Macaca fascicularis: one gene and its partners. The protein of the gene in region 2 interacts with the protein of the main gene of each other region in a biochemical or structural test. Links are inferred from orthologs where the notes say so. Each region holds a gene or a part of one and is shown on either strand. Other genes may lie near its edges.

Region 1 (3,653 bases), on a different chromosome or scaffold from region 2:
TGGTTCAGAAAGGGGAAGCCATGTCATGATCACAGCCTGCTCCATCTCCCCCTACCCCAGGGCTTCTTTCGCCGCACAATCCAGAAGAACCTCCATCCCACTTATTCCTGCAAATATGACAGCTGCTGTGTCATTGACAAGATCACCCGAAATCAGTGCCAGCTGTGCCGCTTCAAGAAGTGCATCGCCGTGGGCATGGCCATGGACTGTAAGGGGCCCGGGTGGGGGGAATAGAGCCAGGTGGCCTGGGGTGGGGATGAGTTCCAGGAGGGCAGCTCCCTTCCAGCGTGCCCTCAGGGCCCACAGGGCAGAGTGGCAATCCAGTCTAGGTCAGGCTGAGGGCAGAAGGTTCAGTGTCTTGGTTCCTGCTGCCCTTCTTCCTGCGTCAAAGGAAACAGGATCCCTGTGTGGGCCCCAGTGCCTACCTGCCTTACAACACTCGAGGGCCTTAGAGGAGTTGTTTGGTAGAAAGAGCTCCTGGGCACCCACTCTAGCACATTGTTCTTGACTCCCAGCGAAGGCACCCCACTCCTAGATGAGACAGGGCATTTTCCATTGGCTGGGGATTGGGTGGCAGGATCTTGGAGTAACCACCATCACCATAACCCGATAGACCAGAACATGATATTCATCTGGATCAGCCCAAACTGTTATTGACATGGTCCCGGGGATTAATCATGATCCAGGTTGTGCTGCCCAACTGCTAGGTGATTTGGGAAGTCACTTAGCCTCCATGGCCCTCGGTTTCCCTAACCTGTACTCTAGGAAGAATAGTTTCCGGGAGCATTATGGAAAGGGGATGGAGGGTGCCATGCATCGGACCTTGTGCCTATCTGTTGACAGTGGTTCTAGATGACTCGAAGCGGGTGGCCAAGCGTAAGCTGATTGAGCAGAACCGGGAGCGGCGGCGGAAGGAGGAGATGATCCGATCACTGCAGCAGCGACCAGAACCCACTCCTGAAGAGTGGGATCTGATCCACATTGCCACAGAGGCCCATCGCAGCACCAATGCCCAGGGCAGCCATTGGAAACAGAGGCGGAAATTCCTGGTAAGGAGAAAGGGGGCATGGGGAGAGCAGCAGCCAGGTGGCAGGGAGAGGAGAGTGAGCTCAGAGTCCTGTCTCCTCCAGGAAGTCTTCTTAGTGTAATCCAACCCAAAATACATACTCTTCCCACTTTTGCTGTCCAGATTTTATACACTTGCGTTTGTGTCCTTGCTGTCTGGACCCTGTCTACTCCATCCAATTGGGAGCTCCATGAGGACAGGGCCTTGCCTTCCTCATTGAATTTCCAGGGAGCAAGGGTGACCTTGCTTCTTTTTCCTGCCCCTAGTGACTGGGAGGAGAGGGTAAGGATACAGTTATGTCACAGTATTTTTGAGTGCCTGCTGGGTGCCAGGCATTGTGTTAGGCCCTGGTCAAGCTAGTGGCTAAGTAAATGATTAGTTCAGGACCAGATGCAATGGCTCGTGCCTGTAATCCCAGCAATTTGTGAGACCAAGGTGGGAGGATCGCTTGAGCCCAGGAGTTCATCTGGGTAACATACAGAGATCCCACCTCTATGAATAATTTTTTTTTTTTTGGTATGGAGTCTCACTCTCACCCAGGCTAGAGTGCAGTGGCATGATCTCGGCTCACCGCAACCTCTGCTTCCTGGGTTCAGCGATTCTGCCACCTTAGTCTCCTGAGTAGCTGGGATTACAGGCAGCCGCCACCATGTCTGGCTAATTTTTGTATTTTTAGTAGAGACAGGGTTTCACCATGTTGGCCAGGCCGGTCTTGAACTCCTGATCTCAAGTGATCTGCCTGCCTTGGCCTCCCAAAGTGCTGAGATTACAAGGTGTGAGCCACCATGCCTAGCCTCTACGAATAATTTTTTTTTTTTTTTTTTGAGATGGAGTTTTGCTCTTGTTGCCCAGGCTGAAATGCAGTGGCGCAATCTTGGTTTGCCGCAACCTCTATCTCCCAGCTTCAAGCGATTCTTCTGCCTCAACTTCCCAAATAGCTGGGATTACAGGCATGCGCCACCATGCCTGGCTAATTTTGTATTTTTAGTAGAGATGGTGTTTCTCTATGTTGGTCAGGCTTGTCTGGAACTCCCAACCTCAGGTAATCTGCCTGCCTTGGCCTCCCAAAGTGCTGGGATTACAAGTGTGAACTACTGTGCTCAGCCTCTCTACAGATAATTTTAAAATTAGCTGGGCATGGTGGTGTGTGCCTGTGGTCCCAGGTACTCGGGAGGCTGAGGCAGGAGGGTCCCCTAAGCCCAGGAGGTCGAGGCTGCAGTAAGCCATGATTATACCACTGCACTCCAGCCCAGGCAACAGAGCAAGACCCTCTCTCAAAAAAAAAGTGGTCGGTTTGGGAGGAGATGGACAGTTGACTCTGTGTGGTGAAGGAAGGCAGAAAACCAGCTCCTGGTTCATGGTGGAGCATGCCAGAGGGTGGCACAGTGCACTGTTAAGGGCATGGGCTCTGATTCCAAGCAGATGTATAACAGTCAGCAGTCAGACTGCCCAAGTTCAAACCCTGGTCCTACCACTTGCTGGTCATATGACTTTAACCTTATTACTTAGCTGCCCCGTGCCTTAGTTTCCACATCTGTGAAATGGTGATTATTATAATTATTCCTTTTAGGATTACGGTCAGGATGAAATAAGACATGTAAAACATGTAGCCTGATGCCTGATCATATATTAAGTATTTAGTCATTATAGCTGCTACTACTGTTGTTACCATTGTTATTATTAGCTGACTCTGGCTCTGGTCTATCCTCTGCTCAAGGTGAAGGAAAAGCTTTGGGGCTGGGACTCAGGCACTTGCGGCCCTTCTTCCCCAAGCTGCCTTGGAGCTCCCCCTGGTGGGCAGGCAGCCTCAGTGAGAGGCTGAAAGGGGTCTGCAGCCCCAGCTGACCCCTGTCTTTCTCTCTAGCCCGATGACATTGGCCAGTCACCCATCGTCTCCATGCCGGACGGAGACAAGGTGGACCTGGAAGCCTTCAGCGAGTTTACCAAGATCATCACCCCGGCCATCACCCGTGTGGTGGACTTTGCCAAAAAACTGCCCATGTTCTCCGAGGTGAGTGGCAGAAGGGAGGAGAGACGTGGTGCTGTGCTGGAGGGAAACCTTCTCCCCCGGTCACCCAGCACAGGCTCATCTGAGGCTCTCTGGACAAGGAGCAATTCCCGTAGGTCAACACACACTCAGCACACAGGCACACATGCAGACACAGACACAGACACACCTAGCACACAGATACATACACACACACACATATACACACATATACACATACACCCAGCACTCAGGCACACGTGCAGACACATACACAGACACACACACCTAGCACACAGATACATACACACACACACATATACACATACACCCAGCACTCAGGCACACGTGCAGACACATACACAGACACACACACCCAGCACACAGATACATACACAGACACACAGACACACACATGTATACATACACCCAGCACTCAGGCACACGTGCGGATACACACACCCAGCACACAGATACACACACAGACACACAGACACACACATATACACATACACCCAGCACTCAGGCACACGTGCAGATACATATGCAGACACACACACCTAGCACACAGATACACACACAGACACACAGACACACACA
Region 2 (3,653 bases):
TTTTTTTAAGAGATGAGGTCTTACTATATTTCCCAGGCTGGTTTTGAACTTCTGGGCTCAAGCGATCCTCCCACCTTGGCCTCGAAAGTGCTGGGGTTATAGGTGTAAGCCACCACACTGGCAATATTTGTTAATTTTTAAATTAACTTTCTATATGCTGCTATAATATAAGCTTCATATAAGTTTTTTAAAAAAATATAAGCTTTTTTTTACTTTCCTGTCTACTATTACATCTACATTGTGTAGGGGCATAACTGGCCCATGGTAAATAGTAAATATTTGTTGGAATAATGTGATCCCTGTGTCCACAAGCATATCTTTACTAACTGGTAAGGGTTATTGGGTCTGTGAGGTAGTCTTTCACTGTGTGAAGACAATTTTCTTAAATGGGAACTAGCACCAATCTCTAAAATCCACACACCTGTCAGGACTGACTATAACCAAACTTTAGTTTGGTTCCCTGGAGCCCTCTTCTTGACTATGCCTTGTTTTTGGGCTGGGAGCCCAATTTTAGCAAGAATCTGCTGAGTCAGTTTAGGGAGAATCCCCTTGGCCCTCCACCTTTGATATTTAATCAAGTTCCTTTTAGTAATTTTCCATTCAATGACTCCCCCATCTTCACTTTGTCTACTGGCTATAAACTCCCAACTGCCCTGGCTATATTTGGAGTTGGGTTCCATCTCTCTCCCCTACCACAATATTCTTTTTTTTTTTTTTTTTTTTTTTTTGAGATGGAGTTTTGCTTTCATTGCCCAGATTGCCCAGGCTGGAGTGCAGTGGCGCGATCTTGGCTCACTGCAACCTCTGCCTCCCGGGTTCACGCAATTCTCCGGCCTCAGCCTCCCAAGTAGCTGGGACTACAGGTGTCTGCCATCATGCCTGGCTAATTTTTTGTATTTTTAGTACAGACAGGGTTTCATCAAGTTGGCCAGGCTGGTCTCAAACTCCTGACCTCAGGTGACCCACTTGCCTCGGCCTCCCAAAGTGCTAGGATTAAAGGTGTGAGCCACCATTCCTGGCCTACTGCAATATTCTCGACCCCTACTGCAGTAGTCTCCAATAAAGTCTTCCTTGTCATTTTTAACAAGTATCTGCTGTCATTTCTCTTTAACATTAAAAACTATTTGCCAACTGGGCTTGTTTAAAAACACTTAGGGAATTTTCATTGCTCTCAAAAGAAGTTTCATGTGTTCTTTGCAGTGTGAAGGGTCAAAGAGAGGCTTTACTTGTCTCTGACTGAAGAATATGGTTTCTCTAGTATACAGAAGAATGAAAGAATGAAGGCCACATGATTTGTTTTTGTCGCCTCTGTAGTTGTGGCTATTATTCAATTTGTCACATTTATTTTCAGTTGTTCATGCGGTGACATTTTAAGGAATAATCGAAAACAATGCTCAATTCAAAACGACACGACACCCCAAACCTCCTAAACAAAAGCATGTTCAGCATATAAAACAGTAGTTTCCTCTCTGCCACATAACCAATATAATTCACATGCAGTCCACTCCTGACTCTGTCACTGACTTGCGATGATATGATTATACCTGCAACATCAAACTCGATTTCCAGTGTGACCTTGCTCGTGATTGAAGAGTCTCGGAGGAGCTGATTGGCTTCTTCGAAGGTGCTGTCTTCTGTTGGAATTCCATTGATGGCCATCACTCTGTCTCCAATCTGTAGCACCCCACATCTAATTTAGAACCACATGTGAGAGGTTGTAGATGGAGTAAATAATTACCAAGTTGAGCTTGTCAAATCTACCTTGCTTGATCCTTGCAAAATAGCATCATAATTTGGTCTTGCTTATTCAATGCTGTGGGCATCATATAGGTCAACTTCAACATCTTATGTTGTTGCATTTCATGGTTATAATTGTGAGCAGGGGAATCCTGAAGTATCCCAGAGAAGTAATTAATAATTCATAACCATAGTATTGTTAGAATCTGATCCAAACCAATATTTAGTAATGATGAATGTATATTCCCCAATGGCAGAAACTATTGAAGTTGAACTTCAGGATATGTTTTATTTATGAATTTTTCTCCTTTTTAATTAATATAGCTTCTAGTCCCTTGATGGACAAAATCTACTAGTTAAAGGCATCCATGCTCATTACTCTTTTCAAACCTGATCAAGAACATAGAATTTTATTGTCAGAAGAGGGTTCATCACATCTTGCATTTCCTACATTGAGCAATGTTTCATAATTCACTAGCCATTCAAAGATAGCAGGTACCAGAAACGCAGAGCAGAAAATGATGCTGTAAAAGAGTCTCACCTCTCTGCTGGGCTGTCAGCTTCGATATAGGAAATCAGAGGTGGAGAAGAGAGAGTTTCTGTGGCAAACACACTGCCCTGCAGTTGGATCCCAAATCCTGTGACAGGATCTGCCGTCAGCACAACCTCTGTGGTTTCTGTGTGAACAACCTGCCCAGCCAATCCCACTGTGCTGGAGGCTAAGGACACTAGAGGAACAAACAGAAAATACTGACTTTAGGTTGGAGCAAGCACCAGGAATACCAGCATTTCCAAAATAGATCGTGTCTCTGCATAAAAACTTAATGGCAAAGGTGGGAGGTTCAATTATGGCCTCTGGTTTAGCAAAAGTTGAAAAAGATAAGTGAATCTCTCAATATTCATCACATTTCAATAATAATATCAGTGTATCCCTGTACCCTGGCTCCCCACTCCTCAAACCAGGGATCATTGTGGGGGCTTTAAGAGGATGGCCTTAGGGTCAGGGTATGTGGGTTTTAGTACTGGCTCTATCACTGAACACCAGCTGGGGAACGTTGGGGTAGGCCATTTTGTGTCTCTGTGTGTCTACATCCTAAGAAAAAGGGAGTTGAGCTAGCTGGTCTCATGTTTTTTTCCACTTTAGCCATTTGCATCTGGGCTTTGTGACTTTTAAACAATCCTACCTTCAGCTTTGAAGAAATAATTAATCTAAATCTGACCCTTGGAGTGGTGAGGCTGTACTTTTCCTTAATCTAGTGTTGAATTGGCACGATGATGTTGTTTAAACTCTGTACATTCCTCCTGTCCCCTCAGAGTTTGTTCTCTTCAGCCTTGCTCTTTCCTACTGGGTCTCTAGTCTACGTTGTTGTATTTCATTTATTTCCTATTATTTATCCTATTTCATTTATCTCTCTGATATTCATCTACACCTTCCAGCAGATGTCTCCATCTTGTTTCCATTCCCAACTCATGAAAGGGCTGCTCCACTCCTCCATGCCTTTCTCTCAGCCCTGCCCACTGGAGCTGGGCCACCTGTGCTCTCTGTGAGCAGTCTCTGCCTGCAGGTCCTATGCTGCACTGCCTCTTCCTCCAGAAAGAGTCTGGCCCCCTTTAATTAAAACCTGATGACACCACATACCTCATAACCCTCTCCAAAAGCCATTTTTTTTTACTCTCTCTACAAATGGCAGGAAGACAGGTTCATAATTCTTGCTCTCCACATATGGTACATTGATTCAACTACTCCTATTTAAAATTCCATATTCTGTACTTATTTCTGCTCTGTCTCATTTTCAAGCCCATAATCTACTTTTTCAAAATTCTCCCCCTTTTCTTCATAACTTCAGGACTTACCTCTTAGTCTGCCTCTAACCTGTAGCTTTTCCTTGTCCTCTGCCTCTTTGACATTATGGTGA
Region 3 (3,653 bases), on a different chromosome or scaffold from region 2:
AGGGGGAGGCTGGCAGTGGCTATGGGCAGGCAGCCTCCCCACCTCCAGCTGTCCCTGCACCAGCCCGTGTCAATCACTGGGCTCACTTCACCTCTCTGGTAAATCAAGCCTGAGGCGGGACCTTCAGACCGTCTCCAGCCCTGGGCATCCTCGACACCTCTACTGCCACTCCGGCTGCATCCACCTGGGGTTCTCCCATCCCTAGTCAGGAATCTTGTGTCTCCCTGTGCCCCCAAGGTGGGTCCGGTTAGGCCCCTCTGGTAGCTTCTCTGTGCCCTGAGCAAACTCTTCCTGCCCCTATGACCTCGTCTCACTCCATCCCCTAAACTTCAGTCACAGCTGGCCCAGACTGGCCACTGCCAGAAGGACTGGGCCCAGGTGGTCAGGATGGGCTTCTTGGAGGTGGGGACATAAAAGCCAAGCCCCACAAGACACGAAGGAGCTGGTGAGGGAGGGTCTGGGATCCAGCGTCTCCCCAGGCAGTGGAGTGTCCTCTGGACATATCTGCATGTGGGAATGCGGTTTGGAGGGCAGCGGAGCATTCTCAACGATGCATGGGCCACTCCTTAGCCAGGCTCCATGCCCCTGCCCACCAGGGCTCTGGGCGCTCTGGGCTGGTGTCACTGGAGTGGAAGCAGGGGCACGTACCGTTGGGTGTGGCGAACTGGATGAGGACGCTGTTGCAGCCCAGGGTGATGATGAAGGACTGCTTGCCCACGCGGCTACACTCTGTCTCTCGGGACACCGAGCACTTAAAGACACACACATCTTCATCTATGAAAGAAGATAGGCTGGCATGAGCAGTACAGCCCTGTCGGCTGCCTTCTTTTGATCCCGGGTCCCTGACGCCCTCCTGCTGCCTGCCGTTGGTGCCCCCAGATTCTTCCAGAGTGCCACAAAACCACCCTGGCAGCATTGCCGGGTGCGCTGCCTGCCCAGCCCACACTGAGGACAAGGGAGCGGCTGATCAGACAGCAGGGATACAGTCTGTGTCCTCAGGATGACCAGGGCTGAGACAGGGAGACGGTGAACGCTGAGGTGGGCAGACAGGGCCACCAGGCACGGTGCCAACCCACAGGGCCTCAGAGCTGGAGCTGCCTCTGCTCCACTCGGCTGAGCCCTTCTGTTCTTGGATGGGTGCAGTGCAGTGACTGCATGGGGCCAGTGTAGCCAGACCGCCGGGTTCACACCCCACCCATGCCATTTGTTCACTGTGACACAGGCAGGTCCCTCAGCCTCTCTGGAACTCGGGTTCTCACCGTCAGATGGGGCTAATGGCAGGGCAGTTGTCTAGTGAATTACGACACTGTCTCCCTGTACCCATCATGATAGCTGTTACTAGTCATTCATTCCACAAACCTGTGGCCATTCCACTCCAGCCAAATGGTGAAACTTAGCGATGCCAGGAACGGGCCGGCCCAATCAGGCACTGTGCCCCTGCCTGCCAGTGGGACAGGTGCATCATCTGTAGTATTCTTGGCAAAAATGTTTGACCTAGTCCCATCTTCAAGGGACAACAGAAAACTACAGGTTGTTGGGCAGGCTACAGGACAACCAGGCTGGTCTCCTCAAACAGGCCAGTGTCAGGAAAGACCAAAACGGTGGGAGCTATTCCAGAGTACAGGAGACAAGAAAGCGGGGAGTGCCCAATGCGATGCAAAGTGGGACCCTGGGCTGAAGCCGCAAGAAAAATGTTTTAAAAAGTTATAAAGGACAACTGGGGAGACCGGACCCACACCTCTAATCCCAGCACTTTGGGAGGCCAAGGCAGGAGGATCACTTGAACCCAGGAGTTGGAGATCAGACTGGGCAGCATAGCAAGACCCTGTCTACAAAAAAATTTTAAAATTAGGCAAGCGTGGTGGCGTGTGCCTGTTGTCTTAGGGACTCAGGAGGCCGAGATGGAAGGATCACTTGAGCCTGGGAGGTTGAGACTGCAATGAGCCATGACTGTGCCACTGCATTCCAGCCTGGGTGACAGAGCAAGACCCTGTCTCAAAAAAATAAATAAAGGACAACTGGGGAGCTGGACAGAGTAGCCCCCACCTGTGGTCCCAGCTACTTGGGAGGCTGAGGTGGGAGGATTGCTTGAGCCCAGGAGGTTGAGGCTGCAGTGAGCTATGATGGTGCCACTGTACTCTATCTAGTCTAGGCAACAGAAGTGAGATCCTACTTTAAAAAAAAAAAAAAAAAGACAACTAGGAAAATGTGAGTGTGGAATACATATGCCATAATTTTAAGTTACTTGGATGTGACAATGGCATTGCGGTTTTGTACAGAAATGCCTTTGTTCTTAGAAAACATATGTGGAAGGATTTATGGCAAATTCCCATGACATCAGCAGCTTGCTTTTCAATAGCCCATCACAACAACAACGTGAGTGCAAATGTGGCAAAAGTGTTCCCAATCACCCTGAATAGCCAAAACAATCTTGAAAAAGAATGAAGCTGGAGGATTCCCATGTCTCAATTTCAAATTTTACTATGAAGGTACAGTAATGTAAACAGTGTAGTGGTACTGGCAAAAGAATGGAGACACAGATCAATGGAACAGAATCAGAGTCCAGAAATAAACCCTTACACTTATCCTCAATTGATTTTTGACAAAGATTCCAAGAACATTCAATGGGGAAAGAATAGTGCCTTCAATAAACACTGCTAAGAAAACTGGATAACCACAGAGAAAAGAATGAAGTTAAACTCCTACCTCACACCATATACAAATAAAACAGAACTCAAATGGAGCAATGACCTAAACATAAGAGCTAAAACTAGAAAACTCTTAGGAGAACAATTTGCAAATCATCTATTGCTAAGTATTTAGTGTCCAGAATATATAAAAAAACTCTTTTAGGGTCAGGCCTGGTGGCTAACACCTGTAATCCCAGCATTGTGGGAGGCGGGCAGATCACTAGAACCCAGGAGTTTAAGACCAGCCTGGGCAACATGGTGAAATCCTGTCTCTACTAAAAATATATAAATATTAAGTCAGGTGTAGTGGCGTGTGCCTATAGTCCCAACTACTTGGGAGGCTGAGGTGGGAGAATCACCTGAGCCCAGGAAGTTGACACTGCAGCGAGCGGAGATGGCAACACTGCACTCTGGACTGGGTGACAAGAATAAGACCCTGTCTCAAAAAAAAAAAAAAAAAAAAAAAAAAGGTTGGGCACGGTGGCTCACACCTGTAATCCCAGCACTTTGGGAGGCCAAGGTGGGTGGATCACGAGGTCAAGAGATTGAGATCATCCTGGCTAACACGGTGAAATCCTGTCTCTACTAAAAATACAAAAAAATAATAAAATAAAATAAAATAAAATTGGCTGGGCACGGTGGCTCATGCCTGTAATCCCAGCACTTTGGGAGGTCAAGGCAGGCGGATCACGAGATCGAGACCATCCTGGCTAACATGGTGAAACCCTGTCTCTACTAAAAATACAAAAAATTAGCTGGGTGTGGTGCGGGTGCCTGTAGTCCCAGCTACTCGGGAGGCTGAGGCAGGAGAATCACTTGAACCTGGGAGGCAGAGCTTGCAGTGAGCCGAGAGCACGCCACTGCACTCCAGTCTGGGTGACAAAGCGAGACTCTGTCTCAAAACAAACAAACAAAAAAGCAAAAACAAACAAAAAATTAGCCAGGCATGGTGGCAGGCGCCTG

Evidence for each region.
Region 1: the proteins of GRIP1 (region 2) and THRA form a complex in vitro, tested with the Homo sapiens proteins (2 studies listed by BioGRID). The link is inferred for Macaca fascicularis from reciprocal best matches to the Homo sapiens genes GRIP1 and THRA.
Region 3: the proteins of GRIP1 (region 2) and CARM1 form a complex in vitro, tested with the Homo sapiens proteins (2 studies listed by BioGRID). The link is inferred for Macaca fascicularis from reciprocal best matches to the Homo sapiens genes GRIP1 and CARM1.

Annotation. Positions count from the first base shown.
Region 1 is NC_088390.1:61,153,485-61,157,137, forward strand, and holds part of THRA (thyroid hormone receptor alpha), read left to right. Parts: intron 1-60; coding exon 61-208; intron 209-843; coding exon 844-1,049; intron 1,050-2,930; coding exon 2,931-3,077; intron 3,078-3,653.
Region 2 is NC_088385.1:73,224,061-73,227,713, forward strand, and holds part of GRIP1 (glutamate receptor-interacting protein 1), read right to left. Parts: intron 2,466-3,653; coding exon 2,279-2,465; intron 1,691-2,278; coding exon 1,545-1,690; intron 1-1,544. UniProt on the Homo sapiens protein: May play a role as a localized scaffold for the assembly of a multiprotein signaling complex and as mediator of the trafficking of its binding partners at specific subcellular location in neurons.
Region 3 is NC_088393.1:11,470,187-11,473,839, reverse strand, and holds part of CARM1 (histone-arginine methyltransferase CARM1), read right to left. Parts: intron 775-3,653; coding exon 649-774; intron 1-648. UniProt on the Homo sapiens protein: Methylates (mono- and asymmetric dimethylation) the guanidino nitrogens of arginyl residues in several proteins involved in DNA packaging, transcription regulation, pre-mRNA splicing, and mRNA stability.